Linked DNA regions of Mytilus edulis. The protein of the gene in region 1 purifies or fractionates together with the protein of each later gene. This does not show direct contact. Links are inferred from orthologs where the notes say so. Each region holds a gene or a part of one and is shown on either strand. Other genes may lie near its edges. The genes, in order: cullin-2-like, COP9 signalosome complex subunit 8-like, E3 ubiquitin-protein ligase arih1-like and glomulin-like.

Region 1 (7,390 bases):
CTTTTGTAGTCATTAACATTGTGTTTAAATTTCATTGATTTCTATTTACTTAAACTAAAGTTTTTGTGCGAAAACCAAGAATAATGCTTATTTGGGCCCTTTTTTGGCCCCTAATTCCTAAACTGTTGAAACCAAAACTCCCAAAATCAATCCCAACCGTTCTTTTGTGGTCATAAACCTTGTGTCAAAATTTCATAGATTTCTATTAACTTAAACTAAAGTTATAGTGCGAAAACCAAGAAAATGCTTATTTGAGCCCTTTTTGGCCCCTAATTCCTAAAATGTTGGGACCAAAACTCCCAAAATCAATACCAACCTTCCTTTTGTGGTCATAAACCTTGTGTTAAAATTTCATAGATTTCCATTCACTTTTACTAAAGTTAGAGTGCGAAAACTAAAAGTATTCGGACGACGACGACGCCAACGTGATAGCAATATACGACGAAAAAATTTTCAAATTTTGCGGTCGTATAAAAACTTAACAGACTTCATCAAGAATGTTCAATACTATTTTTGAAAGTACTGTTTATTGTTCGTGTTGTTATTTCAACACTATAACTTTAGGCAATGCATACTCAACAAGTGAAACTGCGTGCTACTGCTCACGGATGATACCCCCGCCGCAAGTGGATAATATTAATAGTGTAAAAATATGCAAGTGTTCGGTAAACAGGAAGTTGTTGAGTGATGAATCTGAAAACGCATCACACGGTATAGCTGACTTATATTGACCCTTAAACCAAATTTCAGAAATCCTGGTAGTGTAGTTCCTGAGAAAAATGTGACGAAAAATTTTCAACTTGGCTATCAGGTGTAAAAATGATACAAGTGTTCGGTAAACAGGAAGTTGCCGAGTGATGAATCTGAAAATGCATCACACGGTATAGCTGACTTATATCAAGCCTGAAACCAAATTTCAGAAATCCTGGTAGTGTAGTTCCTGAGAAAAATGTGACAAAAAATATTCATGGGACGGACGGACTGACGGAAGGACAGACAGAGGTAAAACAGTATACCCCCCCTTTTTTTCAAAGCGGGGGTATAATTTATATATTATACCCATTATACAACAAGACAAGAAGGTAAAATATGACAAACAGATATTATGGTCTACCAGTATAGGTTGAACAGGTACTAGAGCCAACAGGAACAAGAGTTACATGAAACAGGGTGTAGGGATCTCGATTCAATATTCTATAATTATATTCCCCACTTAGAGCAAAATATGTAAGGGTTCTGCAGAACCCAGTGCCTCACCTACTTTATGAAGCTAATAAGTAATATAGGAAATTTAACTGCAGATTGTATGTAATGTTAACAGGAAGAAAGACCATATATAAGTAACATACCGAAAAACAGGAAATATATTTTTACAAAATTTCCTTCTAGATACTAGCTTTTGATAATTAACAAGCTTCTGTCCAAGTTTGGCAGAAATCCAGGATAGTTTAAGAAACTGAAATTTAAAGTGATTAAAATTCCAAAAACTTTAATCATAGAGTGAATGTAATGTTAACTGGCAGAAAACTAAGTCCATTTATAAGTAAAATACGAATAAACAGAATTTTTTTTTTACAAAATTTAATCTGATTGAATGCAACCAATTACAACTGAGACCAATGAATAGCATTACCTTGTGGAATCAATAATTCTATCTTAATCTTAACCTTTGGATATGGAAGATGATAAATGGTGAAAAGCTTGACTTTGGTTTAAAAACCATGGTTCTAAAATACCTTCAACATGGGGGTGATAAATTTCCATTGGGACTTTTTGTTTTACAACACAGCATAAATTTACCAGTAATCCCCCTTAGAGTCCTTCCCCTCAGAGATTTGGGGGGAGGGGGGACAACCTAATCAAAAAAAATCTTCCAGATTCAGAAGGGTCTGTCTTCACACTGCCTCACAACCCATAACTTAACACACTATAACTTTAGGCAATCCCTGAAAAGGTATTATATAGTATATACAGTATAATGTGATCAACGTAAAGCAGTGTGCGGTTGTGTTCAGATGTGAAAAGAACCACATGTACCAGACTCGAAGTTCCCAAAAAAGAATTTGATTTCCATATTAAAAGTATAACTATATATTGATAAAAACACAATATTTACATACAATACACAGAATCTCAATTTATTCAATGATCTACCCTAGTTGATCTGGAGTCATTTGGGGAAAAATGTGTCATCAAATTTTTCTGGGGAAAAGCGCTATGGACACGTAAAAATATCCTCATCTCATGGCCAAAGCCCAATACATGTATGAATGCATTTTGACATTGCTGTTGTTGTTATTGGTTTTGGTAGGCGGCTTACTTATATAGTAATTGCGCCTTAAATTCATATAACATAAATATTATGTACATTGTATATACTTTCAGTCCTTAATTTTATTTTTAGTATTACGTTTTGGCGAGTAATTATATGAAACTTTGACGAACATGGTTGACTGAGTTACTAAGAAATATATATATATATGTTGAGAGACAAAAAAAACACACATAACAGAAGGTACATGTAATAGGAAAATGAAAGAAAAGCAAATGACAGTCCCTAATGAAATGTACATTATTAATTGATAGGTATCATAAAATTGTTTAGAAATTTTGACGTCACAACTTCTATTGAAAAAGCATGCATAATATGAATTCTTAAGATGTACAAAAACATATGATCTGACCATGCATTAGAACTATCTTGAACTATCTATCTTCCTTTTTTTTTAGGCAGTGTCTGCACGTACCCGCATGCGGAACTTCAACAAATAGTCAAAGTGCCTTTGTAGGCTACGTGTACCTGCATCTGGTTTTAAAATCAAATGGCATCGGATCAGGAATACAACCTGAAATATAAACCACACTGCCTTTTTTTTTTTACCAGTTTAGGATTAGTATCCTCAAAGTTACAGAGTAAAAACCTCTTGTGACAAACATGACCTTTATTTAAATAATTTGGGAACTGGGATGGGGTCCATATGTTCACCAAAATGAGCAATACAATCAGTTTGTTGATTCTTATTTGTGGAGATCATTATTGACATAATTTAGCTGGCAGAATAAAAATTCCGCTAAATTAATCAGGATACTATGAAAATATTAGAACAAATTATATTTACAAATACTGTTGGACGATAAGAATTTTAGGTTTAAGATAACTATATAACACACTGTTCAACCTGTGATTTGTTTTACGAGTCGGATAGCAGTTATTGGTGAAGTTTTGTCAACTTTTTATTTCACTGATTGCGATGAACAGGAGGTCGCCATTTTCTGTCACGTGGGAAAACTATTTGCATATATTTGTTAAAAAAATAAAGAAAAGAATTTTTTAAACTTAGTGTATACACTCATTTCAAACAATAAATTATAGACCCGGAATACATTAACACTCAAAAATTATATATAAGTTGCTTTATACAAAATCAAATTGTCTTTGCACAAATATCAGTTAAATTGAACTCTAAATATTCATAGGTTCGTTTTGTTTTGAAAGATCTGATTCCGAAAGATATATTGAAAGGCTTCCTTAGCAGCTTTAGAACTTGCTGGATACAGTTCTCAACCCTTAGTGCCCTTTTAGAATTTACTTTCAGGTAAAAACATGTAGACTCCTTAACAAAAAAATGCCAACAATATCTGGTAGAGTCTAACATATAAAGCTTAAAAATGAAATATAAGTTTCCTTTAGACTATAAAGAATGATTTTTTTTTGCTATTTCACTTTCAGTATAATTTTGACTGTGTTAATGACAATGATTTCTAGACGTTTCTGTCATACAAACAGTTGGTCCACAGGTAATTCGGGCCACAATATCACTTCGGCCTGAGTTGTTTGGGCCACAATTCCAGTTCGGCTAGTGTCGTTTCAGCCTCAGTTGTTTCGGTCACACTTGGATTTTGTTAACATATATTCTATAGACGTATTTACACTTGTATGCAAATTTGTCCGCCATTACATAAAATCACACAGGTTCCCGTAAACTTTGACATCATAATTCAATACATTTGACGTCACAGCTAAAAATTGATTGTTGCTTGACGTCAAAAGGTTATTAGGAGGTGATATAAGGTCATTCGGAGGCAAAATACAGCTTAAGACCAAAAGTGTAAATACGTTTATTCTGTTCTATATGAGGGTTTGGATGGTGTTAAATGATTAAAGAATAATGCCCTTAAAAAATGAAGATTAGAGAATAATCAGCAAAAAAAATGAAGATAAGAGAAAAAAGGGGTTAATTTTTTGAAGATTAGAGAAAAAAGGGGTTAATTTTTTGAAGATAGAGAAAAAAGGGGTGAAAATTAAATGTTTACAGAATAACAGACCCCCCATCCAGACCCTCCTATATATGTTTGCGTTAATGCACCTTATCACTATTTATCTGCCATTACTAGACATCACAAAAGTTACCGTAAAATTTTGACCTTATAATAGAAAATATCTGATGCGACAATGGAAAAGTGATTGTTGTACATGTACATGTATGATGTCAAAAGTTCAAGCAGAACAGATTTTCAAACAGCATCTGCTATAAGGTGCATTGTTTTGACAGAAGTTTTTTTTTAAGCCATTTCAAAGTTTAGTTTTTGAGGTTAAGTCTCCACTCATATACTTCAGCAATTGGTCAATTATATTTGGTTTATGGATATATATAGCCGGAGTAATTGAAAGGTACATGTCAATACAAATGTAGCTGTCTGGCAGGTTTCATCTTATATGTACCATGACCTTATTTTCATGCTTTTGTGTACACCATTATTATTTGGCAGTGTCTGCCCAGCTCTACATGAGGGGACGAGTAGTCAAATTGGCATTCGTAGGCTACAAGTCCCTGCATCCAAAATTTAAATGCCATCTGATTGGGAAAAGAAATGTGAAATATACATGGAAATTAAATGTATCATAATTAGTGAATAAATTAATCAGAAGTCCTATAAATAATTATATATATATAGTAAGTGAACAGTTTTTCTCAGTTAATAAATATTCTTGATATATACAAATGTATTAATATATATATGTGAGGAAGACATTTAAAACTTATAAAAAAATTGGAACAATTTGTTCAAAACTGCCAGTCAAATAACAGCATACATTGTATGATATAAAATATTTGGTTGTTTGTATAAAAGAAACTCTGAATCAATTAAAAAGATGACATGTAAACCAAAAACTTTAAGAAGAATTAAAGTTTAGTAGGCAAAAAATTCAAAACAAATTCGACAGGAAAAGGGTATCGACATGAAATATCACCAAGCATTAATATTTGAAGGTATTGACAGTGAAATATCACCAAGAATTTATATATTTAGGTTTTGTCAGCATGTCAACAGTGAGTGATAATGTGTTGTTCCAGTCAGAGACCACAAGGAAGTATGACATACCTCTCACTCATCTAGATTATCCATACATAGAGAAATGTACAGACACCAAAGAACTTGAGAGAATACTTAGAATCCTTAGGTAATTCTTTAACTTATTTAGATTTTACTTTTTCAAAAAAATATAAAAGATCATTAAAGGGATCATTTACTATATGATTGTGACTCCTCACAAAATTTTGAAGGTACAAGAAACTGTTATGTATAAGCTAAAATATCCACATACAAAAACAAATTATTTTTTTTAGTCACAAACCAAAAATTGAATTACTATTTAGAAAATAACTATTGTATTTTAAGCTTGGCCTTCGAAAAAAACATAGATTTTACTGTCTCACATTGAGTTTACTTAGCAACACATAATGGAGCTAGGTAAAAGGATATTTGCAACAGTAAAATACTTGATATTTTTATTAAAATTTCATGTTTTAATTAGGCAGATTAAAATAATTGAAGAATTTGAAAAGAAATTAGTACAACCTCCTCTTTTACCAAAAATTACCCCACCGTGACAGCAAATAAAATTGAGAATGGACATGGGGAGTATGTCAAAGAGACAACAACCCCACCATAGAAAAAAACAACAGCAGAAGGTCACCTTTAGGTCTTCAATATAGCGAGAAATTCCCGCACCCGGGGGCGTCCTTCAGCTGGCCCCTAAACAAATATATACTAGTTCAGTGATAATGAACGCCATACTAATTTCCAAATTGTACACAAGAAACTAAAATTAAAATAATACACGACTAACAAAGGCCAGAGGCTCCTATCTTGGGACAGGCGCAAAAATGCGGCGGGGTTAAACATGTTTATGAGATCTCAACCCTCCCCCTATACCTCTAGCCAATGTAGAAAAGTAAACGCATAACAATACGTACATTTAAAATTCAGTTCAAGAGAAGTCAGAGTCTGATGTCAGAAGATGTAACCAAAGAAAATAAACAAAATGACAATAATACATAAATAACAACAGACTACTAGCAGTTAACTGACATGCCAGCTCCAGTCTTCAATTAAACCGATTGAAAGATTATGATTTCATCATATGAATATCAGGCACAATCCTTCCCGTTAGGGGTTTAGTATTATACTATCATAACATATATGAGAAGAACATAACCCGTGTCAGGCCAATAACTGGTTTTTGAATAAATGTGTTTAGTTCCGATGCAAAGACCCTATAAGTGAATCAATATTAACACCAAAATATGCAATCTTTAATGACCTGACAACAGTATCGTAACTATATCCCTTCTTAATAAGTCTATTTAAAGGTTTTATTAGTTTCTGAGGTGAATACTGACATTTTTGTGCTTTATAAAGAATATTTCCATAAAAAATTGGATGTGAAATACCTGAACTATAAGAAGTCTGCATGTTGAGCTATATTTACGAATGATGTCCTTATACCGATGATAAAATTTAGTAAATGTTTTGACTAGTTTTTAATATCGAAAACCCTGGTGTAATAATTTTTCAGTAATACATAAATCTCTCTCGTTAAAATCTATAACATTGTTACATATATGAGCGAATTGTACAAGTTGAGATATATAAACACCGTAAGATGGTGACAAGGGAACGTCACCATCTAAAAATGGATAATTAACGATAGGAAATGAAAAATCATCTCTTTTATCATAAATTTTAGTATTAAGCTTTCCGTTAGTGATATAGATATTAAGATCGAGGAAAGGGCAGTGGTCATTGTTAGTATTAGCTTTATTTAAAGTAAGTTCAACAGGATAAAATGTTAACATTGTATAATCAACATTTTCTTTCATTTCTTGCTTGAAGTACTATTTAATTTTTTAGCACAATTCACACTGGTACCCTTTCTGACAATTTGAAATTGATAATAAAGAATAGCAGATTATACATGACCAAATTCAGTATTCAGTATGCAAATAAGTAAACATTTGTATACCGGTTCAAGATTTTGATCAAACTACATTTTCCTGTTCCATATCTCTATATATGATAGATTCACCAAATTTTCTTTTTCATG
Region 2 (7,785 bases), on another chromosome or scaffold:
TGGCCATTCTGACTTCTTCCATTTTGCTGGTCATTGTGGTCTTTAGATACACCTCTAGCAAGATTGCTGAAATCAAATACTTTTGGACGGTCACTATGGTTACTTTGTATACTGGCTGCACTTCCAGGCCTTTCACCATTTTGTTCCATCATAAAAACTCTTGGCGACTATAAAAAATAATATTTTGTAATTAAGACTTAAATTAACAATCAGTATTAAAATACTATAGAAAACCACTGAACTGGCACTTCTCCCTGTATGAATTTACATAAGTTTTCATATAAGAAATTAAATAGAACAACAAATGTGTACATGTCATTTGGCAGTATTATTCCATCAATAAAAAAAATCCAATTCAATTTCTCTTTTATGGACAATCATATATTTTAAATGGGAATTCCACACACAATCAACATACTACAATCTGTCTATTGTGGCATTGCAAAAGATCAAGTTTTCTCTGACTTTTAATAATGACGTCTTTATACTAAATCCATTCGATTTTTGATGTGTACTGATTGATATTTTAGTCTTAGGTACATAATATTCTTTTAGTTGTTAACTTGTTATAGGCTTTGAACAAGCTGTCAATAACTGCAAGTACTCTTGTATCTGTACTTTGTGATATTTTGGTTGTTAGGAATGAATAAATAACACCACTGTCCCAGGTACAAGGGAGGGGTGAGCAAAAGCTAACATGTTTTACCCTGCCATATTCTTGTGTGCAAGTCAAATGTGCAAGTATAAAATCATAATGTAATTTTTTTAAAGCAAAAATAAACCCACAGAAATAATCACTAGCGTTGCAAATCATTAATTAAATTGAAGACCCATACCATTAACAATATATAATTACATATTACATATATTTGCATATTAAGTTGACAACCAATTATAACTTACGACAGACTCCCTCCTAGCAGGACTACCTGGTCTATGTTTCCTGAACCAAGATGTCTTCCACATGTCCAACTTTTTACCTTTGTACATCACCTATAATATTTATTATAAGATCAAACGTACTACACACAATTACTAAGTTATGTAACAAAGGATATTCATTACCTTTAAACATTACATGAAAACTTTCAAATTTTGTTAGTGTCTTTCTAGTATTCAACAAGTTCAAGGTAATGGCCGTGAGTGAGTTTTTTTTATTTCATTAAAATACTAAGTTCTTTTATTGTTCTGATATTGTACAGGTCTTTTTGTTGGTCTTCCTTGAACATGAGTAATGATTCTTTGCAAACAAAAAGTAAAGAACATCACAGTTTGAAATACAGATCTTGAGTCCAATGCTTGTTAACAAGGATCTGACAATGCTACTTTCCACTTCCTATTTCAAAGACCTTTCAGGATCTTCTAGTTTTAGTGTAATGATGCACACATTCAAAATTTTAAAACGGGAATTGCAATAATTCTAGTGCAATCACCTTTACTTCATATCTCTTGAGAAAGACGAAAGGTTGCTCTAATCAACTTATCAAAATAAGTAGCACTTCAGAAAGATATACCGGTACTTGGCAATAATGAAGTTTTTTTTCAAAGATTTCATTGAAAGTGTCAATCGAAATGTATCTACCTCTGACAAGTCAATAGGAAAATACAGGTAAAGACTTTAGATCTGTACGTGCAAAAATTCTTACATCTTTTTTTTATTTTTCAATCATCAATATTCAAGTTATCTTTCCCTTATTATTGAAAAGTTTACAGGAAACTTGGACATTATTGTGTGCATTTATTATTGAAATTTTGTCGTTTAGTCTTAAATGCTATTTCAATTTTTGTGATTTTGAAAAAAATCTTGTTAAAATCTTATACAAAATTTCAAAATGGGGGTTTAAATTGTTGTTGCATTTTTTGCAATAAAAAAAACATTGCAAAAATTTCTAAATTTACAGTACAAAAAACTTACAGAATTCCATCCACAACCAGATTTTTTCAGGGGGTTAACCTGGCGTTTACAATGTGCTGCCCAGGCACTTGGTGTGCCAAACATCTCTTTGGTGGCTGGCGTCATTATTTTACCATTGGGCAGTAGGTCAGCGATAAACTTCCTTCCCTAAAAATAACATTAGAAATTTTTGTGTAAATCAACATCATCAAAACATATTCCCTTCACATAAACACATTATATAACATGTATTAGGCAATGCAAGCTCAACTGAATTATCTCCCTTTAAAATTTGAAATAACTATGTTTTAAAATTAAAACTAATAAAGCAATCTTTAACTGCATAATAAATACTTTAAAAATGTTGTTATATGTGTCTTTATAGTAAAGAAATTTTTCGGTCTAATAACTTATGAGTTTGAATTTCCTGTTTAACATGTATCTTTCACTTCTATTGTTTAACAATAAACCTGATCATGAAGCAAGCAACACCACCATGAAATTTTGCATAGGATATATTCTGTGGGTTCTGCACACTTTTTGATCATATTATTTGATAAAAAACATGACTGGACTAAAAAATGCTCCCACAGCTTTATGTGTGCTGTTCTATTCGCTGTTGTTTGTCTATTGATTTTTTTTATCCTGGTATTGTTTGTCAATAAATATTTGTATTCATATTTCTGATTTGCCCCTAAATAATTTCATGTCAATTTCTCTTACTAAATATTTAAGTGTCAGAAGTCCATTGCCTGGTTCTATAATGCCATCGATAATAAGCATCTGTAACGTTACACCACGACCAGTAATGGCTGTTTTTACAAAGTTCTCTGATATGCTACTTTCTTCATCACAGTCATTTTCATCGTCAAATTCTTCCTCCATTTCGTCCGCCATCTTGTTATCTAAAAGTAAATTAATTTGTCATTAATGCATAATTAGATTCTCGCTACATTGAAGATCCATTTGTGGCCTTTGGCTGTTTTCTGCTCTTGGGTCGGTTGTTGTCTCTTTGACACATTCCCCATCTTCATTCTCAATTTTATAATGTGTAATAGAGACAACAACCGACCCAAGAGCAGAAAACAGCCAAAGGCCACAAATGGGTCTTCATCACAGCAAGAAAATCCTGCACCAGGAGGGTGGACTCAGCTAGTCGAGCTTTGGTTAAAAGTTTGGTTTTTATGTAGTTTTGTTTCATCACTAGTACTGTCCCATGTGAGGAGTTAGGTCGAGTCAGTTTTTTGTACTTATCATGCTCATACTCCAAAATCAACCAATCGAAATGTTGGATTTCATGTTTCGCGCATGATTTTTCTGCTGCAAGTACTGAGCAAAATTTTATGACTTCAACCCAAGGTATTCAGAAAGTTGGAAAATTGTTGCCTTTTATCATGTTTATGTAGTCATTTGCAATTTATAAAAAAAAATAATTTGCACTGTGAAGTTATATCAAATTTTTGGGTATAATATCGAAAACAGATACATTGTAGACAATTCCTAATCTGGTCTAAGCCTTGTTACCCGATTTTAGGGAATTGGTTTTGTTCATTGTTGAAAGTAACCTAAAGGTGCTTTAATCCACATCATTTTGTATTTCTTCATGTTCTTGTATCCTTATCTTATTGGCAAGCATACCACATTCTACATCTCTTGGATCGTTGTCTTATTGGCATCTCCTTATTGTATTACATTGGCAGTTGCTATTTTGCTGTCACCAGCATAATAGCCATGACCAATAAATAGCTTGCACACTAAATGACCATTTTTGTTTTTGAAGATTCATTTCATGTCATGATTCAAATCTAGGAAAATTGTGCTGCATTATTGAGCAATTATTTAGTAGTTTCACATATGTCCATGGCCTATATATAATATATACATTTTAATCATTTTTAAATGTTGTTTTGAATAAATTTGGGTTCAAACTCTGAAATTCTTTGACTGTCCACTGCTTTGGTTTAAATAATTGCATGAAAATGATTGGTCGATATTTGTCATTACATCAATTTCAGTAAGAATGTTTGAAAATAATACCCATTTTTATTCAAACATCAATATATAGTTTGAACATTGTTTACAAACAAGTTTTCCCTCTTTGTTTACATGTGCTTCCTGTGACCTTTCAGGTGCGGTTCAACATGTTTTCTTGAATTTTAATTGGATGAATAATTTAGCTAAAAAATGAAACAAATAGGTAGAGTATTCAAAATCTACAAATTTGTTACATGTTTCACTAATCACATGATTTATATGTTCTTTCTTTTCAAAAAAATATCTAAATATTCGTTTTTTTTAATTCTCTGCGTGTCTAAAACGTAAGTTTTGACAGATTGTTCTCATTCGGGATTTTATAATATACAAAAAAGTCCTACCATATAACTTTAAATAACAACGCACCCAAATGTTCAAAAACAAAATTAGTTCGTGCTCACGAAACAGTTTTCTGAACAAACCTTAAAGATAATTCAAGACAAACCATAGCATCATACATCTTTTTAGAGTGTCCAAGCCTTCACTATTAAACTTTAATTAAATTTTCAGTTTGTGGTAGTGCGCTGTTGTTTAAACTTAATTTAAATCTTTGACTATTTTTTGCTAGTTCTTAAAATCAACAATCTGAACAGAATTTTGCTGACTACAAAATTCGCACAATATGGCTGCCGAAATTGCGGCTCATGAAAATTTTCAAACAATGCAGATAGATTTGCAAAATCAAGAACTTGACGTAAACTTTCTTCATACTTCTTTATTGAAATATATATGTCCCTTAAGTTTTCTTCCGTCAGATAGAAAAATTCAAATCGGAACTTGGTCAAATCGGCATCACAGTGACACCTGTCATCTTTGATGGATCATCTTTGAACATCTTTGACTTTGAACCTCTTAATACTGACATATTTTCTTATCCAACTGGTACCTAAAGTTATAAGGGGATTTTTCGTACGGGTATGGATAGTTAACCCCATATTGACAGGAATCCGGGTCCGTCCGCCCTGATTTCGGTTCGCCCTAGTTACTCTTCGCCCTAGTTCCGTTTCGCCCTGAGACTGTTCGCCCTGATACCTGTTCGCCCTGGGTTTTATTTTTTTGTATAGTGTTGTGTTGTGTGTATTTAATTGAATATGTTGAAGTCAGTCTACAATTTCGCCGAATATTTACGATTTTTATTTTTTAGTATAGTGTTGTGTTGTGTGTATTTAATTAAATATGTTGAAGTCGGTCTACAATTTCGCCGAATATTTACGATGTATTATGTTGTCTACAGCTAGCTGCTACTAGGTTATAAGTTCATGCCTAACAATTTGTACATCAGTGTTTTTACCCATCCAAGCTGACTATTTTATTTTAGAAAAATGTTATTTTCATTATTAATCCATCAAAGGCAATTCATATACCAATCAGTGATATCAAAGATTTCAAATCATATCTAATCAGCAATAAAAATTCAATCAACATGCAGTAATTAAAAGTAATTATAAAATAAAGTGTAACAATGCAGCCAAGAATTTTATTTAATTAATATTCTGTATTTAACTGTTAATAGATATGAGACAATATCTGAAAGAGTCTAATTTTTGGAAATAAGAAAAAAACATTTTTTTTTAGACCCAATATTTTAATAGCACAAATCGAAGAACACACATTGGGGATCTAGGAACTGTTGTCTGTAATTCAAACAATTGTTTAATAAGGAAACAATGGCTATTTTAAAAATGGTACAAAACAAATGCAGTTCTTTCCTGTTACCAAGTGAATCAATTTTAAAAAGTTTCTAATGGGAATAAGGAATAAGTTTAAGACAATATTTGTGGTTTACTAGTATATCCTGCAATAGTTTATCAAATGCCAATTATTTATTTTAGCATTTGCAATACAAAAGGTTTAGAAATATACTTAAATATAGTCAGATATGTCGGTAACATGAAAGAATCTTGAGTAACAGCACAACGGTAACAGGACAGAGTTGGTAACAGAAAGGATTTTTCTGCTTTATTTTAAAGTTTAAGAAAAATACACCATTTTAAATTGGTCACAATTGGAAGATAACAGCAAACAATGTCATTTATCCTTTGAAACTGTATTTGCAAGATGAAAAATCTGCCTAGGTAAGGAAAAATTCTAAAATAAATTCCTTTCTGTTACTATCTACTAAACTAGAACATGTAGAATTGCACAATGCTCTCTGCTGTTATCAAAAGCAAAAAACCTATTTTTTTTATTAAATATACTGTATATTATTTAGAAATTTCTTTAATATGGTGGTGATAACTTATATTAAATAAAATGGTTGGCATATAGTAGATTAACTTTTCGATTCTTCAGTGAAATTGTCTTGAACATCCTTCCTGTTACTGATGATGGTTATGCTGTTACTTTCTATCAGGTAACATGACAGAACGTAACAGAAAGGAATTACGCGATAGTTTTTGTCCTTTTTATCACATTAAATGTAAGTGTATTTCCTGTGACATATAACTTTTAAAAAGATGATATAAAAACACACTTAATGCTGTGGTGCACACTTAAAAATATTCTCAGAAAGCGTAAGAAAAGGCTGTAACAGGATAGAACACCAATAAGTATTTTTCTATAAATTCTTACCTTGGATGGGCTTGAATTTTCAAACCTGGCCGCCTTTCCAACTATTTCTTTGTACTAATGCATTCAGGAAATGATGCTCTTCACAATACATAATGGGAAAATAACTCTTGGTCTTGCAAACGTTTCAAAAAACTGGTAACAGGAGGGAAATCACCCCTGGGGACAAATTTTTTTTCTCTTAAAATTTGCAAAATTTTATTACATGCTATAGTTATAATATAAAAAGACAAATTAGGGGCAAGTTTATTATCAGTCTGCACGGTTAGCCACTAGTCCGATGCCCCAGACTAGTAAAATTTCATTCGGACTAGTAAGTTTTTGCAAAACTTTGTTTGGCCCAATAAGAAAAATGTCAGAATATTGGTCTTCGGACTAGTAGTTGAAAAAGTTTTTGGTGCAGACTGTATTATATAATATATCATATATATATGTGAGAATCGGACGCCTGTTTAATTAATTTGGATATTATTTGAATGATTTAGTTTTCAAAAAAACACAGGGGACAACATGATTTTAGGGGGGGTTGAACATTTAAATTACAATATTTTATTGGAAGAAATATAAGAATGAGTGTTTAATTGGCAGGCCATGGTGCATTATATAATTTACTTTATACTGAAACTTAAAATTTTCAAAAAAGATGGTTGAATAAAAAAATACTTGCTGGTGAAGTGCGGGACATGGAAATTAGACTTTTTCAGATATTGTCTCATATACATAAATTTTAATATATATAAATATATATTTCTTTCATTAATGTAACATAAATACATATCATAAATGAAAATAGGGCGAACGAACCCAGGGCGAACGGATTACCAGGGCGAACAAACTCTGTGCGAACGAACCTAGGGCGAACATCAGTCAGGGGACTTACTTAAATAAGTGATTTTCTAAATCACTGATTCAAGTAACATTATTTCCATAAAGGTTGGAAGTTAGAGTTGTCTTTCTTTAATAATCACCTATTTAAGTAGTACAAATTAATCACTAGAAGAAGTGATTTAATATTAGTGTAGCTTTAAATATAGAATACTAATGATCCAGGGACTAATTATGTTTCTAAACTTATCAGAACCAACATCTGTGTTGTCTAGGATGACCAGGTCATTTCAGGTGATGACCTTGTACTGAATCTAGGATAATGACATAAAAATCACTTGTTTAAGTATCAGACCTCAATTTCCTTCCCAAAAATCACTTCTTTAAGTATCATTCTTTTACTAACCCCCACTAATTTCAACACCCCCGAACAGTGAAATTTTTATGGCGAACAGTAGAATTTT
Region 3 (8,453 bases), on another chromosome or scaffold:
CGCCCCGGTGATTTGAAAGATGATATTTTACCGTGGTCTTCGTTCCACACTTGATACACGCAGATGTCCGTTGTTGTGTTCTGATTCGTAATTTACAGAAGAAATAGCTTACTTTGACCTTATATTATATGCTGACTTCTTTAAATCTATATATCGACTCTATTTATATGTGTAATTATTCATTTTGTATTTATTTATACTCAGTTTCAGTATAACGCGCCAAATGTAACGTTACGTGTTCTTGTTTATGAAGAACTTGTGTATTACGTCACACGTAGTATAAAATACGGAACGCATGTTCCTACGTTGAGATTCTCTCCAACAACCTCCATGCAGTTAGCAGTCTCTCTTAAATGCAATGCACCAAGTAAAGTTGCTTGGTGAAAGTATTTAAATGCAGTGCACCAAGTATAGATTCCTGCACCAAGTAATGCAGTGCACCAAGTAGATTTGCAGCACCAAGTAAAGTTGCTTGGTGAGAGTTTTTAGATGCAGTGCACCAAGTAGATTTACATGCACCGAGTACGCTGAGTATTCAAGTTGAATGCAGTGCACCAAGTAGATTTGCTGCACCGAGTTAGCTGAGTATTTGAATGCCGTGCACCAAGTAGATTTTCTTGCACCGAGCAATTGTTTTATTAATCTTAGTGCAAGTAATGCACCTTGCCGTATTACTTATTGTATTTAATTATTAACGTATTTTGTTTCTTGAACCGCTGTATTTGATATATTGTTTAAATAGAAATAATACAATTAATGAACTTCCATTATGATCTTTATTATTACTTCCTTCACCAGAGGCCCACAAAAGTAATTACGGGTGTACATCCTGACAAGAAAACCCCGGAACGTTACAATATCAATCTTTATATTTTGTCACAAGAAGCTCATCGTTCTCTTATAATGTTTTGACCATGATAGAATAACCGAAGGATGGTCTGTTAATTATCCGCTATCACTTGACAGTGTATAATCCACAGACAAGTCAGCTTCTGCAACCGTAATATACCGATTTTATCATTTCTGTGTCATTTGGTCTCTTGTGGAGAGTTGTCTCATTGGCAATCATATACCACATGCATCTTCTTGTTTTATATTTATCCTAGCCTTTTTGTAATAAGTTAATCCGATTCCTTATACAATACATATTTGCAGATACTTAAAGTAAACAAATTCTCATTAAATATAGCTTGAACTAAACTCGTACCCGTTATACCAAAAGCACGGAATGTCCGCATGCAAATCAGTCATGTGACGTTTTTTTTATTGGACTGCAAATAATATAACTTGTCATGATAACTTGCATTCAGTTGTGTATACTAATGATTCTTCAAATCAAAGGGAACGGCAAATGTTTTGTCGATTTGTAGCCTTTTGAAACTCAGACTTGTTTAAATAGCATCAGATATACCAAGGATTTGTATACTATCTATTGTAAAAATTCGTCGGTGTACTGGAAAGCGCAAAAGATATCTATATTTCCTTCTTAAATAATGTTTGTCGAATCGAAGCCAATTGTTACATCAAAAATGTTACCAGGGACCAAAAATTTACAGAATAGAGAGTAATCGGATGCTAAAACATGAAGAATAGATACAAATAAGAAAAAGAAAGTAAAGAAAATGGCATAAAAATTACAGAAGACAGAAATAAAGACGTATCCAACCCTTACACAATTCAAAAGACTGTCAAAATCATGATAAACTTCAATAATTTCCTGTTCATTTATTGCTTGGTGTTTGCTCTACGTCCGTCGGCAAATATATCAGGTTCTTGTCAAGATAGAAATTTATTCATATTTGCATAGAGTGATTGCCGGACATCCATGCTGGATGAGTGTGTTGCGTGTTTATGGATGTTGTTTCTTTAATTCAAATTTCACAGCCATAGTTCAAAATACCTATATTGATAAAATATTCATTGGGGTCACTCATTTTCCGACCTAATGTTTCTGCAGTTGTGGAAAGGTATTATGAATGCTGCACTAACGTATAGCTATTAAATAGAGATAGGGATTATGAATGCTGCCCTGACGTATAGCTATTTGATAGAGATAGGGATTATGAATGCTGCCCTGACGTATAGCTATTGGATAGAGATAGGGATTATGAATGCTGCTCTGACGTATAGCTATTGGATAGAGATAGGGATTATGAATGCTGCTCTGACGTATAGCTATTGGATAGAGATAGGGATTATGAATGCTGCCCTGACGTATAGCTATTGGATAAAGATAGGGATTATGAATGCTGCCCTGACGTATAGCTACTGGATAGAGATAGGGATTATGAATGCTGCCCTATACACAGCTATTGGATAGAACTACAGCGTGAAGGTAAATAATTTCTGGGGTAAGCATTCTTAAATACCGAAGATTTCGTCCGGGGTAATCATCATTGAAGGCCGAAATGTTCGTGCGTAACTCGGAAAAAAATCAAATTTGATAAAATACGCATTGGGGTCACCCACTTGTTCAAACCCATTGCATCGACAGTTCTGTATGGCTAGGGATTATAGATTCTGCTCTAATAAATAGCTTTTGGGTGTACTTCAACGAGAGGTCAAATAATTTCTGCGGTAAGTATTCCTAAAGGCCGAAATTTCGTCCCGGAAACATAGAAATAAAGCCATATTCGATAAAATACGCATTGTGGTCACCCACTTATTCAAACACATTGCCTCGGCGGTTTTTTTTTTTTGTGGCTAGTGATTATAGACGCTGTCCCAATGAATAACTATTGGATAATACTACAACGAGAGGGCAAATAATTTCTGGGATAAGCATTCTTAAAGGCTGGAAATTTTGTCCGAAACATGGAAATAAAGCTAAATGCGATAAAATACAAAATGGGGGCACCCACTTTCCGACCAATTGTCTCCGTAGTTCTTTATGGCTAGGGTTTATAGACGCTGCCCCCAATGAATAGCTATTAGATAATACTCAGTGGGTAAAGAATTTCTGGGGTAAGCTTGTTTGTGAATCGTCATAATGATTTTTTTAATTGTAAATGCTACTAGTAATTACAAAACCGTAAATATGAGTTAGAAATCTGCAAACTTAACTTTTAGAATTTTAATAATGAGATAGAAGAAGGAGATGCTTTATTTCTATCAAATGGGCTCACAAGGAGCATAATATAATATCATTATATTATTTTTACAAATATAATAATTAATACAGTATACATATAGTTAGTTACAAACACAAATAATCTGAAACGACAGTTTTCATATATTCGTATATATTTTAGTAGTATATATAAAACCTTCGTCTCAGACATACCTCTAGAAAGTAACAAAAAAGAATTCTGTGAGTTGGCTAAATATATCTAGCTGAATTGTAGGATGCACCAAGGGACGGTGCTCATATGGCATGGTGGGTGCATGTTAAAATGTGTATCGGGACATTAATGATATGGTATTAAAGATATTGTAAGAAGTTGCAAATAACTGGTATGTCATCCTCGTGCCTGGTGCAGAGGAGTCAGTACTATTTGAACATGTTAAAGTGACACAACTGCAAGAGGCACCAAGGGACAATTGACATGCCAAAGTGCACATATTACGAAAAAGATAAAATATTACCAGTTTAATCAAAAATATCACAAACAGAAGGGTAATAGAACTTATACGGTGGGTACTGTACCCCACCATGCCAACCTCGTGTCTAGTGCAGAAAGCCTGATTTAAATATTTATCTTTCAAGTTATATTTTGTCTTCGTCAACTAACATGACTAACCCTCAGACAGATATCAAGATTCTCTACATTAAGAAGCCATATCCGTTTTTGGCTGAGGAATCAGATGCGTAAAGTGTGGGCATAGTGAGTTAATGGTGGAATTTAAACAATTTCTCTTATCTTGAGATGATGCACACGAAAATAAAAAATGTTTTTATTATCAACTTTATTTGAGGTGCACCTGAGTCAGACATAATCTTTGATTTTCTATAAACTATAAATCTTGTTTTCGAATAAAAAGTCAAAAACTATGACATTAGACATTAGACATTATTTTATTATACCAATCATGGGCCCTTGTCGGTCAAGATACAAAAACATCATAATACAATGATTATATAAACATTAGTGAAATACACAATAAGTAATACACAAATAATAAATTGATAATATGAGCAATGTAGGATATAATTATGGTAAGAGGCATTGAGTGTAATGAGGCCGATTTGATATTATAAGAATATGATATAAAGTTTATTAATACGAAAACAAAAAAGTAAAAAAAGTAAAATTAGAACCGGGAATATAGTATCTCATTCTGCAGTAGTTCTCCTCATGACCAGTGCACAGCAGTGAGGGACTTTTACATCACAACAATGCAAAGGTCATCAAGGGGAGATCCTTCAGAACTAGCTACAGATACATGAGATTACTCCAATAGTGATTCTCCTCATGACTAATGCACAGCAGCAAGGGTTGACATTGCTACTGGGCAATATTCATCAAGGGACGGTGCTCTAGAACTCACTATACAGAAAATATAAAGTTCAAATTACAAGTAGTAGCGGGAGATAAATCCCATTAAAACTTTTCATATTTCTTAATGAGCATGCATAGTTCTGATAATAAATTATCATCTTCATTATTCATTAACCATATCAGTTTTTGGTTAGGGTCAAGATTTTTAAAATTCTTACAGCTATTATTTATCATTGTTATCATGTCTTTCCTTTGGTCTGATAAACTATCACAGTTGAAAAGAAAATGTGTTTCATCTTCGACCTCATTACTACAACATCTCTTACATATTCTATTGTGTCGGGGAGTATTACTATATCTACCTCTCTCTATATAAAGTAAATGGTGAGCAGATATGCGAAATCTTGTTAGACTCCGTCTATCTTCAAATTTGTTAACAATATTAAGATATTTTTCACAAACAAAATTTGATTTAAAAGTAACATATGTGCGTAGTTTTCCTTCTGAGTTAGTTTTGAGATTTTTTTCCTAATCTTTCAACATGGCATTTCTTAGTTTTCTGTTGTCAATCGGTTTAATTAGCTATGATTTTAACATGTTTAAAGAAAAATAAAATTGCCGCTCATGTAGTTTTCCAAACGCAATTGCAGGATAGCTTTTTATAAACAGAATTGCAGGATGAGAATTGCAGGATAGCTTGACATTTAGTCATCACTATATAGTCTATTAATATAACCTAATATAAATCATGAATTCAATAGTCCTTTTACCAGAGACATATGAAATCATAATCTCTTTAATTTTAAAATAAACAAACTCAAATAATTTGTAAATAATTTACAAGAACAAGTGATTTTACGAAGTTCTACATGTTAATAAAAAAAAACTTCAAAAGGACTCAAAAGGCACCAAAACGGTGATTTTGAGTGAGTTATCTTCTCTTTGCTCCGCTCTTTTGTGCATTGAGGTAGTTTTAGAAACAACAAAAAACTTTCCCAGAATCCTCGAGAATGAGGAGCTCGGCGAAGGTGATATCATCTTCGTAAATTCAGATTTACCAAAGCTTTCTTTTCAACCAAATTCAATTTATGTCATGCTCGACAAAAAGGGAATGTCATTGTTTATATTTTAAGTAAAGATTCAATCGTTTCCCCTAGTAATTCCAAATACTGGTGACCGTCTGTTGGTCGCAGACCGAAGATGACGTCACAGATGTAAATACGACCTGTTTTGTGCAACAACTCATAAGAGGGATCTATAAATATTTCAAACAAAGAAAGAAAATGGACAGTGAAGATGATATGATATATGATGAGGACTCTGAAGGTGAAGTTGAAATCGATTCCAGTGATAATGAAGACTTCGTGGAAATGGCTGAACCCTCCTCCACACAGGACAAATCTGAACAAGAAGAATTTCCATTTGAGGTCTTGACTGCTGATAAGATAGTAAAGTTTATGGTTGATTGCATTAAAGAAGTTAATGTTGTGGTTCAGGTGTGTTTGAAAGTTATGTAAAATGTATATGCTCTTAACAATAACAGGTTATGCACAATCTACCAAATGAGGATAGTTCCTCGAATTAGTGGAATGAGTAACTATGTGTCAAGTGTTGTTTACTTTTTAGATTAATAATTTCATAAAGTCATATTCATGAACAATTGCCTTTTTTGTAAAGTTAACTTAAATTACAAGTTGCAATATTCATTAGAATCATCCAAAACTGATATGTCTGAGGGTTATGATTGACTACATGTAGATACAATGACATAACAATGAAGTATTTTAAAGATTAATACTCATACTGTTGTATGTTCTGACCGTGAAAGGGCTTTATAGCCAGTCAAGGTTGTTAAAAACTTCCATTTGTTGTTTTTGCATGTTTTGTTTCAGATAACCATGGTCATTATTCAATATTAAAACATTTGTACATGTATGTCAGAATAAATACATGTAGACATTTGATTCCTTCCTATCACTGACAGTTTAACCTGCCACAAACTTCATGAATGTACTTGAAATAGAAAGCTGTAATATGAATTCAGCTGTTGTCTTTGGTTGCTATTACCCATGTCGGGGAATATTGCCCAGCCTGGGAATCCCGAATCCGGGTTTTCGCCCTAATTCACATTTGCCCTAGTACCTGTTCGCCCAGGGTCCATTCGCCCTGATTTTTATTTTTTTCTAATTGTTGTCCAGTCGCATAATTTTAGTTATTTGAACAAAATATGTTAAAATATGTTGAAAAATTGATAGAATATTTATATTGCCGCAATCAATTTATCATTTTCCCTTTGATTTACAGAGTAGAATACTGGAATACAATGTATTTCTCTTTATTGATGACTATTCTCAGAGTATAATAATGAATGAACTTTCCAGTTCGTACATCATTGTTCTTATTAATTTCAAGCTGAATATTTTATCAAAACAAAACGTTTGATTTTTATTAATATTCCATCAAAAGACAAGTATCACAATAATCAGTGATCCGAATTATTTTGTCATTGAACAATAAATGATTCTAAACAAGCCATATAATAAATATTTCCCTGTTTCCATAAATTTCAAGAATATATACCATAGAAATATCTGAATAAGTTTATTCAACTTCAATGCCCAGAATATTAATATTTTTTTAGTAGGGCGAACAGACTCTATGGGCAATAGAAATCAGAGCGAACATGTTATTAGGGCGAACGGTCCCAATACCGGGAATCCCAGCTGGGTTTTCCCACCTGGGTATTAATTCATGTAACACTTTGCCAATCCTGCTGAAATATGATAGCCCCAAATTCTAATCAGCTATAAATAAAGAGAGACTGATACAGGTACAATGCTCATGACTTAAGGTAAAGAAAATTATTATAAGATATTTTATATTATTATCTTAAGAGTTCATACATGTACTATAAGATAAAAAAAATTGTTTCAGATTCCTCCAACAGTGATAAGAATTTTACTGAACCATTTTCGATGGGATAAAGAAAAGCTTATGGAAAGGTAATGTAAAGTTTTCAATTGTTTGGCAGATAAATGTATGAGAAAGGAAGTTTAGCTTCAAGTAACATTTTAAAGTATATAAAAGCTTAAAAATTTTAACAAAACTAAAATTTCTGATTTGGATCTTCAATGCTCTTCAACTTTGTACTTGTTTTATGTAGACGAAACGTGCGTCTGGCATACTAAATAATAATCCTGGTACCGTTGATAACTATTTAACACAACTTTTAAGCACTGAAAATACTATAAATATTTAGTGGTGGCCAGTTTTTATTGGTGGAGCAAACCAGAGTGCCAGGAGAAAACCACAGACCTTTGAAAACTGACAATCCTAGTCAATTAAGATTGGAGTTGAGTGCGACCCAAACTAAGAAAATACATTTGTTTCACTTCTTATGCTAAATTTTGTATGTTGGTTGGGAAATAAAAGTGTTTTTCTTTAGTGTTTAATAACGTTATAGGTACTATGATGGTGATCAAGACAGACTGTTTTCTGAGGCTCATGTTGTCAGTCCATTGAGAAAAGATTCTGGAACCGGAGCAAGACCTAAGGTAAATATATGTACTGTGTATTAATGATGAAGGAACTACTGTAAAAGCAAAAGTTTTTATTTAGGATTTTATTTCTTCTATTTTGAGGATAGATATATGTCACCCATGGAATTCAAACCCTAACAGAATTCTAACCTTTAAATAATAACATCCACATACTTTAAGACAGGAAAATTAATCCCCACAAAATAGTGTGTTAGACAGTGTTATTCCCAGATTCTTCATACATATAGCATCCTGGTAAAGAGGAAAATTTGAAATACCATCTTGTTTCAAAAAATATAGCATCACAATCCAGAAAAATAGCATCATATGGAAGAACACTGGTCATGCTGGTTAGAGACATAACCATGGATTTTGACCCCACAATAGTTGGTATTTCATCTGTATTTTGCTAAAATTGTAGTGAATTTTGTTTTGTAATTAATAATTGCAATGATCATGGTGATTTTACATATGT
Region 4 (8,303 bases), on another chromosome or scaffold:
GTGCATTTGTTTCATTGTCAGCAATATTGGACTGCAATTTTCTCTTTTTGCTAGATGTTTCAGTGTTCAAACTTTCACTCTCATAGTGAATTTCTTCTATTTCGTCCATTACTATGGTACGTCCTTCTTGTTCAGACTGAACATTGTCTTCCTCCCCTTCTTTTTGAGGGATTGCTGACTCATCTTGAGCTTTGTTAACAAACACTGGCCAGAAACTGGCATTCATCTCAGCAAGTTCCTCAGGTTCAGGAGGATTTCTAGGATTGTAGCTAAATCCTTCGGCTACCATATCTTGTTGTTCAGGGCTTAAAAAGTTTAGAACTGAAGTAAGGACTCTCCAGTTGAGTAAACAGGCAGGGCTGTTTATCGGTCGCAAGCTATATCTGAAATAGTCTGTCCATCCCATCTCTTTACAAACTGTACGATGGACTTGCATTTGTATCCCTGTAACATGTGTAGAACGGGGCACAAAAGACTTCTCATTGAGGAAATTCACCAAGTCTTTGGCAGTCACTGGTTCCTGCCTGGTTAACCATTTTGCTAGGAGCATAACCACATAAGCTCTATGTTGGTGAAATCGTCTATCCCCCATCAGTCTTTTGGAATGATAGGTCTGAAAGATTTCAGAAAGATGTTCTTCAAAACAATGACGTTTTACGTCTCTTCTATCTACCACTACTGGGCAGTTCTTTACAGGACATTTACGGTCTGTTCGACTTTGAACACAAGTCCTCTCCCTTTTTCTACTTTTGGGAGAAGTATAAAACTCAAGGCTCTCTCTTGATTCTACCTTGTCAACCCTACTGTCTCTACATTGATCAGGCTCAGATCCCTGTGTAGATGTTGAGGCCCTCATGGCTAGGTTAGACTCTACTTGAGGAACGACTGTTTCAAGATGAAATTCAGCATTGCTGGCTGGGAACCTTTGTGTTGACCCTTCTGTTCTGGGTTTCTCATCTGACGATGAATCTGAAGTGTTCTTTCCATGAACAACGTTGACATTAGGTTCATGAGTTATATTTTCATCTCCTAGTATTAGTGGCATGTTCCTATTCTGTACAGTTAATGTTAGTTCTCTTATATTCATGATAACTCTATTATGCATGATAAAGTCACATCCCAGTATCATATCACATGAAACTGGAGCTACATACAGTTGTTGATTGAACTGTATACCTCCAATCTTAAACTTTATAGGACTAGAAAGCCTGCATGGCATTGTCATGTTGGTACCAGCACCATGCATGGTAGTCTCCCTGATAACATAGGGCTTAGGCTCCAAAGTGTCAAAAATTGTGTCCTTAAGAATAGTTACTTCAGAACCTGAATCAACTAGAGCCAGTACTTTCTTTCTTGCAATATATACTTCAACTCTAAAGAGTTTGGCTGATCCTAGTGATCTCACTGTACTGATTCCTGATACTACTCCTTCAGATTCATGAAAATCGTCTTTGTTATTCTCATCAAAAGATACTTGTTGAGATGTTGGCTCTTTCTGTACTGACTGTCTCCCTCTTTCTTGTACATAAAGCTCTGGACAGTCTTTGATATAATGACCTTGCTGGTGACAATTAAAGCATTCATTATTATAATAACCTTGTCTGGTATATCTCCTGTCGCCAGAGTTATTCTCTCGCCCTCGACCATAATTACGAGTAGGCGAATAATCAGAATACCTGTTGTCTAGATTAGGTGACCTAGAACTAGGACTGGTTCCATGTTTGGCTGATTGTTCCTGAACCAAACTGGTTACTGTTGACATCATTTTCTGTATATGTTCTTCTATGCGAGAGAGACGATTATCCATACTGGACTTGATGCTACCTACACCAAGAACTACTGGTGAGTTAACTGACTTCTCTGAAAGAGACTCCTCCTTGCTAGTTTTCTGAATGGCACTGACAGCCTTCCTAGTGTGCTGACACCATCTAATCATATCCAAGGCTGCATCCATGGACTTTGGTTTAGAGATACAAGCTTCTGTTCCAGCAACTGTATCATTACAACCCTGACAAAACCTCATGATTGCCTGTTCAGTCATTAGTTGTTCACTGTACCTGCTATAAGCTCTAGTGGCGAGAGTCAACACTCTTTCCGACCACTCCTCCAAGGTCTCCTTTTCTCCTTGGGCACTTGTCTGGAACTGAACCTGTGAGGTTTCTGGCAGTTCTTGATGACCAAATCTCTTGTTCATATTGGATACAATATCAGAAAAACTTGCTGTTTTGTTATTTTCTAGGATTAAGGTGTAATACTCACTGGCTGCATCATCTAGGCACCAGCAGAGCTGTTCCCTTTTTTGTTTATCTGTCCACTCGGCCATTTTAGCATAACTAGAAAACTTGGTATAAAAGGTTTTCCAGTTGCCCTTCCCATTATAGCGGAGCGTTTTCAGGATCCAGGACAGAAATTGTCTTTTCTCTATTTTCTCCTTTTGTCTACTTTCCTGACTGCTTTCAGAACTTTGACCATCTGTGTCAGATTCTGATCGGGAGTCACTAGACATTCTAGACCTTCTAGGACTTGAACGACTACGGTGTAATGGAAAACTCCTTACACTTCTTAAAGGTGAGAAATCACGCTGTTGATTCTTATGAGGTCTGTTGTACTCAGGTTCTGACCTTCGCTTTGTTCTGGACTGGCGGTATGCTGAAACATTTGACATGTCAGAATCACCTATATATTTATGTCTAGGATCACTTCTTTCTTGTCTCCCATAGTAATCACTATTATATTCCTTCTGTCTTGCTGAAGGTTGGTTGTAATGCAGCTGAGGTGCTCCTGATGGTGGAGGTTGCTGCTGTGTGCCAGGCATAGGTAACTGAGGCACGTGTAATGGTTGTGACTGACCCAAACTTGGGTACGTTAAACCAGGTATGTATTGATGGTTGTAAGGCGTTAAATTTGTTGGTGCTTGTGGCGGTGGTTCATCTCTAGGAGGTTGATACATAGAAGTTGGGTGACCAATCATCTTATGTTGTTGAACTTCTGGTACAGAACTTGGTGGTTGAAACCTTGGTTCTGGATAATTTGGTTGTTGATGAACAACTTCACTAACCTGTTGTTGTAGCTGCTGTAGAGGTGTAGAAGCCGGCGCTGCAGCTAAATGTTGTTGTTGCACAGGCTGTGCATAGTTAATGACCCCTTGTTGAAGCTGGTCTAGCCGTTGTTGTAGGCATTGTACTTTCTGTTGCATTTGCACTCTTTGTTGACTCTTGTTGACTTCCAGTCGGTGAAGACTATTGAAGCCATGTTGATATTGGTCGACATAGTGGTGCTCATGTTGTACACTTGGTAAAAAGTGAACATGATTAGGTGTAGGTGAATGTAAGAACCTTGGTTGTTGGTCATAATCTGGGCTTTTGTATCTTGGAGGAGTCTGTTGCACCTCTTGTTGATGGTTGCAATCTTCCTGTTGATCTACTATAGGGTTTTGAATATGCCAGTTCTGGCTAAGCGGTATGAACATTCTGTCATATGGGACATCACCGTCCTGTTGACTGTCTGGTTGAGGGTGTACAACCATGTTGATCCTTGGTGGTGGAGTGCGATACTCATTGCTACCAACACTCAGGTCTGAGTCCAAACTCTCTGAAGAAAGGCTCTCCTGTGGTGATTCACAATGTAACTGCTCTAACATAGTTAAATGTTCAGAACGCCTTTGTATTTGTTCCAGGCGATGTTTGTCCCATTCAAGACTGGAGCAGGCTCCATCCTCTGAGCAAGATGATTCTACCTCATCTTGAGTACCTGTATCCTTATAACTTGAACGAGGATACTCCTGTGGTTCCATATCAACAATCACATGATCAGGCTTTGGAGGCAACATACTCACAGAACATGCTCTTTCACGGACAGCTTCCCTGAGCTCAGCTCGTGGTCTCTGTGAAAAATCAATTATGCCCAGAATAACTTCTGTCACTCTCAAGTGTGGAATTTGGAATAAAATATCTCTATCAATGTGGATACCTTTTGCCCTAATATCCATGATCCTTCCTGCTATGGCCTCCCCTATGCCAGGTATGCAGGTAAGTATTACCTTAGGACAGGTGTTTATATTGATCATGTACCCCTGCATAGTGACTTTGTACTTGACAAAGTTATAAAAATTTATTTCACTTTATTCAATATAATTCACAAAATTATATATATACACGGATCAACAATAATTTTTTATTCAATAAAAACTCAAGTCAAAAATTAAATATACACGGAACACTATAAAAGCAAACTGCTCTTGTGTTTGTTTACATCCGTTTGTTTACATCTGCAAACAGAATCCAAGATGGCGACCAAATCTCGCCGCTCACGTGACCTCGCTATCACTAAAGCAAACTTTTCAAAAAGTTTTTCCTCAGCCCAAAAACTATACAAATACGATGTATTTCCACTGACTTTCACCTAGAAAGTATACCACCGGACCTGGTTTGCCTCCCTTAGACAAAAAACTTATTTTTATATAGATTTGACTGAAGGCACTCAAAATTTTGGAGTGATGCCAAAATGGCGTCCAATCCCCTACAGGACCAAAATTTAAACCACCCGCAACTACCAGTAAAGTGTTATTTGGCCTGTCTCGCTGAGCTCTATGGTTACCCGAGGGGTTGATACAAGCTATGCTTAGTGTAAGAGTGCCCTTACCTTCCTACAAGGTGTCAGTCCCAGCTAACCTCGTCTAGCCCCAGATATCAGGCGCATTGCCTTGCTCGTTCCGTGGTGAGAGAGCTGTACTCGAGGAACAGGCTGGAAGTACCCAACTGTTACGTCATGTCATGTGTCCCTTCGGATCCCTCGGTGATGTACCAGTACCCTTGTGACAGGTTGGGGAAACCCCCTTGAACTACGGGGCAATTACACTACATCCCTAAATTATTGGACACGGAAAAATCACAAAACTTTTCCGAGTCCATCGGGTTTTATATCTAAAGGGAGAGCACTCCTGATAAATAAAAAAAAAAATATAATGGCATGTGCAAAATGCAGCAAAACTTTATCTGGTATCTTTTTTAAGAGAATCTGTAAGTGTATATGTATTTTAAGGTTTAAATGGACACTCCATTTTTTTAGCCACTCTAGATCTTCAGCCGGTACTTTTTCAGACGTATAATTCACCATGATTACTCAGATTATTTATTACGCAAGAAAACCGGCATGATTTTTCAGTTCATATCAAAATATATTTTTAGTGTATAATTTTATCTTCATTCGAATTTGTTATTAGCTACTCATGGATAAAGTTTTTAACATAAATTACATTTGAACTATTATGTGTATCAATAAGCATGTTAAGTGGTTATTTGAGAATTTGCTTTTTCCAAAGCCAATACACCTTAACCCTATTCCCGGCTGACCCTGCCGCTTAAACTTGACGTCATACAACAATCACTTTTCCATTGTGGCGTCAGATATTTTGTTTTATGATGTCAAAATTTTATGGGACCCTGTGTGATATCCAGTAATGGCGGACAAATAACGATAAAGTGTATGCAGTGTCTGACCAATTGCGGCGACAAATAGTTAAATTTGCCTTCATACTCATACGGTTACCCGCACCCAGATTTATTTTGAAATGTTATCACATCGGGAATGAAAATTAAAAAAATATAAACAGAAATTATTGACATGAATTTGCGGATATTGTGGATTCAGTGAAGACAGGAACATACATGTATGTTGACATAGTCCAAATAATTATGCAAGGCTACAAAATGACAAAGCAGACATGTGTAGAAGACCTACTTTTTTCTTTATAATTTCTGATAATATACATCTTTATCATTAAAATGTCATTCAAACCAGAGACATATAATACAATAGACCACTTTCGAGTTCATCCGTCACCGGAAAAAACTCGTCAATTATACGCGCTTTTATCACCGTCATTTGTGCGTTTTGGGGCGTCGTCACTTCCCTTCCAATGTTGAGCGAGTGGTTGGAAAACTATAATTCTATATTATACGAATTATTCGGCAAATTGAATTCTCAAAATTGACAATCAACACTGCTGTCATTAGGGAATTGTCAGTAAGTACCTACAGAGCAACCATTATTTCTAGTTTATCCTGCACAAAGACGATCACTAAGACGCTTGATGAACGTAAATAGTGCAGGGATACAGGCAACCCCCTCTATCTGGTAAATGACGTCATAAAGGCATGCATAATTGACGAGTTTTTGCCGGTGACGGATGAACTCGAAAGTGGTCTATTATATGTCTCTGTTCAAACTAAGTTATATAAGTGATTCCAGTGTATAGAACTCGTAATCTGTCATTTCAAATTTATCATAATTGCATTAATTTTATAAATCATGTAAGGTTACAGAATGCTAACAGGGTAATAAAAAAAAATGGTTCCAATAGCATGATGACATTTCCAATTTCACAACCATTATAAAACATAAAAAATCACACAAAAAAATCACACTTGTATTGGTCATTTTACGGTACCATGATTTCTGGAGGATTTAACGAAAAAACTAATATCCCAAGGACAAATTCATTTGTCCCAAAAACATGGTGTGATATTACTTAAAAAATATTAAAGTTTATAATTTTAAGATATTAAATGTGCACATGAAAACAATATGGTGGATGTAATTATTCTTGCAGTACTTTAAAAATTAAAAGAATTAAAAGTACTGCAAGAATAAATTCTTTAAAACATAAACATACAGTTATAATCACTTTACAGTCGAATGATATTCCTTTAATATGAGTAATTATGTCCGCCATATTGTTTTCAACCAGTAATTTGCATACAAGACATACATGTACCAATCGATTCTTGAAGATAACTTGTACTTTTGTTGAGTATTTACGACTAAAACATCTTAAACCTTATAATTATACAAGTTTAAACAGTATAACACCATGTAAAATATTTTTTTCGGGACAAATCAATTTGTCCTTGGGATATTGATTTGTTCTTGTAATCTTCAGGAAATCATACATGGTACCCTTCATTTTATATGACATAATATATCTACTTACAATTAAACTTGTATTTCATGTATTTGTATGTATATACAAATATATGTGGTTTCAGTTACCCTATCTATCCTAATTTTTAGTCTTAGCAATAGTCTACCATAAAGATTTTTTTGTCATTTTTCATTTAGCACTGTTAAAGTCAGATTGTTGCTTCTCTAGTATGTATATAGACACATTGTTTAAAAAAAACATAAAATAAAAATAAAAATCCCTACCAACCTACCCCAACTTTTCTATAGATGTTACTGGAACCACACATACATGTACTATTTTATTTGGCCTTAAACAAAATTGTCAATGTTCATATTTTTCCAGGCCACATTTGCCTATTGTACATGTAATATACATGATCTAAAATGTTCAAACAAAAAGAGAATGTTATGCTGGTGTCGGTGTATATTAATTAAACATTGATTGGTTAAATTAAAGATATGGGGATCGGATAACATTTAATTTAAAGCCGTGTGATGAAATGTATTGATTGTATACATGTACATAAACATGATAAAGGCTAGTTTTTAAAAGTTAATATTTCTTCATCATGTTTACATGAATTCGTACATAGTTTTGTTTTGTGAAAGAAATTTTTATTTATAATATCTGTTAAAAAAGAAAACTATTAATTTAAAGAATACCAGCAAAACTTCTCTTTTTGTTTTTCAGGAATTTGTGTAACACATTGTAACCATGGCTACAACAGATTTTGACATGTATGGTGAAGATTTAGAGGCAGGGTCAGTTCTAGAGAACATCAAGGACAGTCTCAAGTACAAGGATGCCAAAAGCTTGAAGATGTTTATTTTGGAGAGAAAACTTTCTGATGATTCAATATTTTATGAATTAGTTGGAGAATTGGCCAAAAGTCTCACAGACGAAAATTCTAAAAATGTGCCAATATTTTTCGAGGCATGTGAGAGATGCATGAATTACATAGTAAAACGTGGAAACCCAAAAGAGCTTATCATTGCACTTCTTGAACAAATGGACTCCTTTAAAGATGATGAGAAGTTTAAGGCTTTGTTAGGGTACATACAGCAGACTTTAGTGAAGTTGCCTTCAAAGAGAACAGAATCTTTGGAGCTTACCCTTGAAACTGTCCATGCTCATGTTATAGAATTGCCTACCCCTGCAGACCATCAGCTTGAAAAAGACGAGCGAAAGTTGTTAGAACTGGATAGAGATGTAAGGCGAATTACAGATGTTATTTTAGCATATTTAGAATTCCTTCAACCTTTTGTTAAGGAAGTATCTTTGAAGAATCCAGATGCTGATCGAGAGAAAGGTAAAAAACAGATCGGGATGCTGATGGAAC

What was found.
Region 2: the proteins of cullin-2-like (region 1) and COP9 signalosome complex subunit 8-like purify together in Homo sapiens (affinity purification with mass spectrometry; 4 studies listed by BioGRID and IntAct, counting the BioPlex papers as one, with this or other methods). This does not show direct contact. The link is inferred for Mytilus edulis from reciprocal best matches to the Homo sapiens genes CUL2 and COPS8.
Region 3: the proteins of cullin-2-like (region 1) and E3 ubiquitin-protein ligase arih1-like purify together in Homo sapiens (affinity purification with western blotting; 3 studies listed by BioGRID and IntAct, with this or other methods). This does not show direct contact. The link is inferred for Mytilus edulis from reciprocal best matches to the Homo sapiens genes CUL2 and ARIH1.
Region 4: the proteins of cullin-2-like (region 1) and glomulin-like purify together in Homo sapiens (co-immunoprecipitation; 4 studies listed by BioGRID and IntAct, counting the BioPlex papers as one, with this or other methods). This does not show direct contact. The link is inferred for Mytilus edulis from reciprocal best matches to the Homo sapiens genes CUL2 and GLMN.

What each region holds. Positions count from the first base shown.
Region 1 is NC_092345.1:87,329,965-87,337,354, forward strand, and holds the start of cullin-2-like, read right to left. Parts: upstream 3,280-7,390; 5' UTR 3,170-3,279; intron 1-3,169. Other genes in the region: sperm-associated antigen 1-like, read left to right, coding at 5,325-5,464.
Region 2 is NC_092357.1:67,739,460-67,747,244, reverse strand, and holds the start of COP9 signalosome complex subunit 8-like, read left to right. Parts: upstream 1-4,509; 5' UTR 4,510-4,550; coding exon 4,551-4,622; intron 4,623-7,785. Other genes in the region: MPN domain-containing protein-like, read right to left, coding at 1-167, 904-993, 1,916-2,062, 2,618-2,799, 3,932-3,935. UniProt on the Homo sapiens protein: Component of the COP9 signalosome complex (CSN), a complex involved in various cellular and developmental processes.
Region 3 is NC_092347.1:4,650,368-4,658,820, reverse strand, and holds the start of E3 ubiquitin-protein ligase arih1-like, read left to right. Parts: upstream 1-5,423; 5' UTR 5,424-5,722; coding exon 5,723-5,935; intron 5,936-7,373; coding exon 7,374-7,441; intron 7,442-7,902; coding exon 7,903-7,993; intron 7,994-8,453. UniProt on the Homo sapiens protein: E3 ubiquitin-protein ligase, which catalyzes ubiquitination of target proteins together with ubiquitin-conjugating enzyme E2 UBE2L3.
Region 4 is NC_092348.1:32,593,088-32,601,390, forward strand, and holds the start of glomulin-like, read left to right. Parts: upstream 1-4,917; 5' UTR 4,918-5,018; intron 5,019-7,654; 5' UTR 7,655-7,678; coding exon 7,679-8,303.